2 linked regions of the Arabidopsis thaliana genome follow. The protein of the gene in region 2 interacts with the protein of the main gene of each other region in a pairwise test. Each region holds a gene or a part of one and is shown on either strand. Other genes may lie near its edges.

Region 1 (3,080 bases), about 21 Mb from region 2:
ATCTTATGATTACTTTATATATTATTATTGTATGATTAGTGTCTTGAATTGTGTAACAGCCCATGATCTGACCGGACTAACTCGATGACTCCACACCAAAAACTTTTCTAGTTCGTTTTTCGATCTGCATTTGAAAACAATGTAGTATAGGAAGGCATGGACGATGATTTTATTTAAACTTGTTGTATGTTAATTATTAAAAACCACTTTATCTATACAATTATAGAGCGAGAGAGACATGGATTTAGGCGTCTCTTGTTATCTACAATTAAAACTTATCTCATGTCGTTTGATTTATTAATTAAGATCAATAGTGGGAAAACACCTAATTAATTAGTTTTTAAATGGACTTGATTAATGATTACTAGTTCATTTAGGAAACAAATAGGCATTGAAAAGGTATGGAGTAGTTATAGTCTTGTGGATTAGAGCCATATCACTCAATTAACACTCATCGGTCAAGTCTACACAGATCATACTTAATTATGAATGAAAAAAATGTAATTATTGACATTTCTCAGTCATATTTTTTTTTTCGATTTTATGTTTTTTTTTACTACTGGAGATATCACATGGTAGATGCAATGCTTGAAATTAATCTATATTTCAACTTAGTCGCCAATCATAAAAATTAAGACTTCTTGAATTAGAGCAGCAAGTGGAAACCCCACCTTGTTTTCGTTCCTTGAAATTTTCACAAACAATATAATTTTCCATGCCCAATAATTTTTTTTCCAGAAAAAGTGTTTGTTCTTGGTGAAGTGAATTAAGTACGTAAGGAATTACGGCAATATTTGTCTTGTATGATGCATATATTTATTGGCTATGATTAATTAACGGTTACTCACAAACACAAAAGAAAGAAAAAAGAGAGAGATATGATTACTACAGTGGTTTATACAGTAATTTATCTAATACGCGAAAAATATTTATGGTTGGTGATATGACATAAGACAATCATAGCTATTATGCATATTAGCATTATATATTTCAATAGTACTGTTAATTGTGGAGGCAATAGCTATTTCTAGTTAAAAATTGGATTTAAAATGTGTTATACGAAGTTTTCTATATAAATAAATAGCGTTTTATTTTTATTTTATTTAGCCATTTAAATTTATATATGTCATGCAATTGGTAGAGATATATATATATATATATATATATATAAATTTAATACTATTCCATCTGGTAAAGAAGTTTTTGTAATTTGATTATTCATCTCAAGTGACAAAAAGAAGGCAGCCACAAAAAATGCTAGAAAGTTATTGAAACGTGAGCGAACTTTTTCAACTCATATGCAACAAATAAAGTATAAGTTGGCTGAATTTTGGAGACATCTCATAAAACCATCAATCCACCAATCCACCCAAATAAAGTTAGTCCACCTAAACAATATTAACTTTGTGGTTCTACAAAAAAAAACAAAAGAAAAAATAAAATAATCTTAGAAACAATATATTTGTCGTATATATAATCAAGTAGATTATTTTTTTATACCATCATTAATTAATTATATTTATTTATACGAAATCGAGTATTACAAATCATCGTATTAGAACTTTCTGAATGAACTAATCTTTATGTATCTAATATTTTTACTAAAATAATGAATTATATTCAACACCATTTTCTACATAACTTTGCCTCCCTCCTCTATAAAACCCTTAGCCCTCTCTTCCTCTTACTTCAAAACCACTTCACACAACACACAGAACCCTCCCTCTCTAGCTCTAAAAACATCCCACAAACTATCTTTCAACAACACAAGACATATCACGAAACAAATCAAAGCAAAGATCATGAACACGATTCCAGCCGAACTCACTGGATACTTCCACTATCTACCACCAGATAAATATAATAACCAAACACCAATCATGGAGTCTGAGTACTTCAACATGCCCTCTTCTCCTACTTCTTGTTCCTCCTTCTACCACCTCAATGGTCTGATCAACAACAACAACTACTCTTCATCATCCAATGGTCAGGATCTAATGACGAGCAACAACTCAACTTCAGACGAAGATCACCAACAAAGTATGGTCATCGATGAGAGGAAACAAAGGAGAATGATCTCTAACAGGGAATCTGCTCGTAGGTCAAGAATGAGAAAGCAGAGACATCTCGATGAGCTTTGGTCTCAAGTGATAAGACTTCGCACTGATAACCACTGTCTTATGGATAAGCTGAACCGCGTATCTGAAAGCCATGAGCTTGCTTTAAAGGAGAACGCTAAGCTTAAAGAGGAAACTTCTGATCTCAGACAGCTGATCTCTGAGATAAAGTCACACAACGAAGACGACAACAGTTTTTTAAGAGAGCTCGAAGATTCGATATCAAACTCTAGATCGGATTCGAACCAAAGCGGCAGAGATTTTGAGTTGTGTTAATGATCTTGATCATTGTTCTGCTTATGTCAAGACTGTAGATTTCCTAAGGATCATACTATATTATATGATATAATATCATTAATAATGTTATTCTCTATCGAGAAAAAATATTGTTCTTCTATATCTTTTTTTCTTTTAGCCAACTTGAGTTAGTTAAGAATATTAGTGATGATCATGGACGTACGATAAATAGTATATTGTTCTCAATTTAAAGCCTTTTTCAAGCGATAAGTGTCCTAAAAATATGTATGAATCAAAAACCTACAAAACTCAAAATAACATTGAGTCAGTTCCAAAAAGATAAAAAAAAATTAGTTTCACGATCGATGTGAATTAATTCGCACTGGCAGAACAGGTGTTCCAGGTGACATCATTTTTAGTATTAATCAAGTCTGGTCGACATGAAATTTTAGATCAGTTACATGTAACTTTCAAGAGAATACTAAAGTAATGTTTTCGTTGTTTTATTTTATGTCCGTACTTCTCTTTATGTGTTTTTATAAGATTGCAAGAAAGTCTGCCTTAGTTACCAATAAATTTGTTTGTACCAATATGTTGCTGAAAGTTTTTATCAAAAAAAAAGTATATGTTGCTGAATTTCCAGGCGTCGAGTTTTTAATCATAAAATTCAAATGAATGATAAATTTCGATTATCAAAAATATTAAATGTATCGGTTCTTATGACGA
Region 2 (4,661 bases):
ATAATGAAATGAATAAGTAATACATTGCTTTCTCCTATCATCTAATGGGTGGAGGGTCCAAACATGTGATTATCATAAAGTTGAGGTAATTATGCAAAGTAAAATTAATCTTACAAATAAAGACACTTAAAATAGTATGTTTGGAGTTTTGTTAGGTGAGATAATAACTAACGTCATATATGTTGTCACACATGTAATTTCAACAAATTTTTATTTATTATTCGATTTGGACCGATTATACTAAATTCAATTGCGTTTCGGTATTATTAGTCATGTGGTTAAAGAAAATTCCATGTGGTTAAAGGAAATTTTGTTTGGATCACAAAATATTTGGTTCAGTTTTTTTCCTTTTCTTATGTCTAATTTGAATAAAAAACAAACTCTGGTCTTCGATCTAAAATGTAAAGTTAGAACCTGAACTTTCTATCGTTCTCAAATACAATGATAGAAATCATGGCCAATCTTTTTGGTGCACACTCCATTGTCTGCACTCTGCACAGTAACTGTTACATCATGATTCATGGAATAGTATGTTTGAAATCTTTTGAGAGTTTTCGTGAAAATGGAAGAGACCCCGCTGGGCCGTAATTAATGGGCTTGAAATACGTCTTTGCTATGCTACGTAAATTGATGGACCTGGCTTTGCAAAATTGGAACCAACAAACAACTCTTTTTCACATATCCGTTTGTTTTAATTTTTTAACTTTTAAGTCTATGATCAGATTCAGATACACACATAATGTACGATCGAATATACTTACAACTTCTACATAGTAATATATGAGAACCGATCTAACTATATAAACTTAAAAAGTTATAATTTTACAGAAGAAGTATTAATAGCAAACAAGTGTTAAGTAATTAGGACTTAGCTTTAGATTCCATCACCTGAAAAGTGCGGTTGGTTGGCCAACAAGATATGCTCTGGCTCCCACCAAAAAGAAAAAAGAAAAGGGTTGATTTTGTAATAAAGCAAAAGGTTTGGGTAGCGTCAGAAGGCTTTGTCTACACACGCTCCACCACCAATCTCTTCAACTCGCTGATTCTCTAATATTTTATTTATTCTTTTTGCAACCCCAAAGTTTCTTTTTCTTTTGAGGAAACCCCCCCATACATTCTTCTTCTAACTTATGCTTTAATTTGGATATATATTCTTATTGAAACCGATTTATTTAAGAAGATTAAGCCCTTAAACAAATGTTTTCAAATTGCTATATAAAATACGCTTCCCCATGTTGTGTATTTCTTTTTTTTCTTAATCTTTACCATTTCAAAGCCGCCAACAAACAAAATAATTAACCAAAACGTGTTTGTTAGAATATAATCTAGAATATAACCCAAAATTATAAACTTTCGCTTTGGACGATGTTCATTGTGAATTCTAAATTCTTCATTGGTTTTGATTGTCGTCAACATATTTATATCATCATTTAACATTTGTTCGAGATAGTGTGAACACATAATTTTGGCTGTTCGTCTACAGTGTGAATACATGCCACATTGCCACCGTATTATTTGTATGTTATTTGTGACTCAACCAAGATTTTGTTTAGGTGCTGTTCCGAAAGCATCATCAAAAAAAAAAATGTGTACAAAGTTTATTAGGTTAGTTTTAACATAGCAATAACACTAAACTAAATAAACCTAAAATTAGTTTTATCACTAATTTTGATGGTAAAAAATAGGAGGCATGACGTCAACTTCTCCATTCTTAAATTCGATTTCTATAGAAACTTTTTTACTTCTACTTTTTTTTTTTGTTTTTTTACTTTTACTTGATCGAACAAAATAGTGTCGGAAAACAAACACAAATAAAATTTACAGGATGAAGAATAGAAAAAGAAAAAAAAAAAAGAAGCAAAAGAGAGAGAGAAGTGGAGAAGAAGATGGGTTTAGTGGAAATCATGTTGACCCCAAACAGTATCTGCTTCGACGTCACCTCTCACCTTATTCCTTCGATTCCCCATTTTTCACTTTTCTTATATTTTCTCCACCTCTCTGTCTCTTTTGCTTGCTTCCTATACACAGTTCTTCTCTGTTCCTCTAATCGGTAAGTCTTATTCTTCGATCCTCTGTTTATGATTTCGTTCACCTCAATTGCATTAGATGGAAGATAAGAAACTCGAAAATTTCGTCTTAATTTATTTGTTCCACTGATGATCATGTTGTGTGATTGCTTTCTTGATAAAGTATTGATTTTTATCTTTGTTTCTTGTTAGGGTTTGAATCTTTTCGTCAATTTCTATCTGGGTTTTGTGTTAATCGAAGGAATAAGTGAATCGTCGTCTTGGGTTTTCTCTATTTAGAAGAAAGCTTCCTCCTTTAGGGTTTCTGCATCAGTTATTGAATTGCTAGTTGTCGTTGAAGAAAGCAGAAATTGATTATAGTGTTGCTGATGGATTCTTGGAGCTACGGGAGAAGCGTTTTCATGTCAAATGAAACTCTTTTACCTTGTGATACTTTTGCTAAGAATAGAAGATTTGAACAGAGACTCTCTAATAATGATGATGTGTTGATTTCTGACATGGCTGGTAACTCCAATGGATTCAGTGCTGTTTCTATTACTAAAGTTGTTCCTGAAGAGGAAGATGAGGAGAACATATCTTCTTCTTCAAAGTTCTCTAGTCAGGAATTGAATAGGATAGATTTCAAACTTAGGAGCTTTTTGGATTTAGGAAATGATGATGATGATACATCCTCTAGAGGTTTTGCTCTGCCATCTAAAAAGTCTCGAGCTTCAAACTTGTGCTCTCAGAATCCCTTGTGTCAAGTTTATGGGTGTAGTAAGGATCTGAGCTCTTCGAAAGATTACCACAAAAGGCATAGAGTTTGCGAGGCTCATTCGAAAACTTCTGTGGTCATAGTTAATGGTCTTGAACAGAGGTTTTGTCAACAGTGCAGCAGGTTTTATTCTTTCTCCTCTCAAGTTGTCTCATGCTCTGTAGTCATTTCAATGTTCTTGATGGATCTTGATCGTTTGTTTCTTTTACCTTTTTCTTCTGTTCAGGTTTCATTTCCTCTCAGAGTTTGATGATGGCAAAAGAAGTTGCAGAAGGCGATTAGCCGGTCACAATGAACGAAGAAGGAAACCTGCATTCTATTTCCTACCGGGTAAGCGCCATAAGCTTCTTCGCACCTCTCAAGGTACTCACTCTCTGCCTTTTCCCTATCCATTGATGTATTGAATTAGCAAACTCGTGCAAATTTGAATCTATTCTGTATTTTATGATCTTCCATAGATGTAGTAGGCAACAAGTTTCTGGAGAATTCATCATTGGTATTGCCAGAGTCATTTCCTGGTAGTCTCTTATACAGAGTAATAGATGAAGACGACCACCGTACAAGTAGACTCGTGAGTTTCAAAGATGAACCTACTTGTTCCATGTTTCCTACTAATGAGCAAAACAGCAGCAGAACTTATGAATCTAAACCAGCAATTTATTCCACGGAAGTATCCTCCATTTGGGACTTACATGAGACGGCGGCATCACGCTCTACTCGTGCTCTCTCTCTTCTGTCAGCTCAGTCCCAACAACACTTGTCTAAGTTTCCAAACACAACGTTCTCAATCACCCAACCCAACCAAAATCTCAATCACTCATCATCAACTGACTATCATCAGATGGAACAACCGTTGTGGATCGATCCTGGCAAGACCAATTCTGCTGGTTCTAGTTCTTGTAAAGGAAAAGGAACATCCACGGTTGATCTACTGCAACTGTCATCACATCTTCAAAGAATCGAGCAACAGAGGAATTACACTGGTGATGTGAAGCAGGAATATAATGAGCTTTATTTCCCTGGCTCCTAATAAAAGGTTACAACATTCTTATTCCTTTAAACCGGTTCGAGTTTCTTGAGATTGTTCTGCAGAAGGACAAGACAAGCCTGCATGGCTTGATTAGTTTGTGATTAGATAGAGGAATTAAGAGGATCAGATCATGTTACACGTATTATTGTAATTTGTAACTGTTGTGTTATTATTCACCAGTCAATAATGTTCTGAAGAAAATTGCTTCAGATATCTATGCCTACTTCCTTTTCACAGCGTTACAGACAATTTGTATATATACATGTAATGAATATTCGCTGAAAAAGTGAATTTTTACTTTTGTTTTGTTTTGTTCTGTACACTCACGTCATCTGAGGACTGATCTGAGATTCTCGAGTTCGAAGTTACGATGTTGAAAGTTGCAAATCATTGGGGAAAAGAAAAAGTGTCCCAGATGGAATTAAGGAATACGCATATAAAATTTTGATAGGATTAAGACAAATAAAGACCAGACATAAACGTCCAAAGGGACATAGCAAGTGACGTTACTTTCAAATCTAAAGACAGACAGAAATATAAAGTCATAAAAACTAAGGCAACATCATTTTCTGCAACATGACATACATAAGAAAATTACACAGAAGAACAACACAAGATGAGAAAAACGACGCAGCCACTCGCACACGTGCATGCGTTTGTTATTTTTAGGCTTCTTTTCCCCTGAGTTTTGTTCACTTCTTCTCACCGAATCCCAAGCCCTAATTGAACAAAACATTTTAAATCTTTATATAATGTATATAAATATGTCCTTATGCAGACTTAGTTTGTATAGCTTACATGGATCATGTTGTGGCCTCCGGAAGTAATGGAAGTAGGAGAGTTGGGTATG

The links.
Region 1: the proteins of AT1G69170 (region 2) and bZIP58 interact in a two-hybrid assay, tested with the Arabidopsis thaliana proteins (one large-scale study listed by BioGRID).

Annotation. Positions count from the first base shown.
Region 1 is NC_003070.9:4,650,100-4,653,179, reverse strand, and holds bZIP58 (basic leucine-zipper 58), read left to right. Parts: upstream 1-1,630; 5' UTR 1,631-1,802; coding exon 1,803-2,393; 3' UTR 2,394-2,574; downstream 2,575-3,080.
Region 2 is NC_003070.9:26,003,231-26,007,891, forward strand, and holds AT1G69170 (Squamosa promoter-binding protein-like (SBP domain) transcription factor family protein), read left to right. Parts: upstream 1-1,837; 5' UTR 1,838-2,050; intron 2,051-2,219; 5' UTR 2,220-2,395; coding exon 2,396-2,904; intron 2,905-3,007; coding exon 3,008-3,144; intron 3,145-3,239; coding exon 3,240-3,811; 3' UTR 3,812-4,138; downstream 4,139-4,661. Other genes in the region: CRC (Plant-specific transcription factor YABBY family protein), read right to left, coding at 4,504-4,530, 4,610-4,661. UniProt on the Arabidopsis thaliana protein: Trans-acting factor that binds specifically to the consensus nucleotide sequence 5'-TNCGTACAA-3'.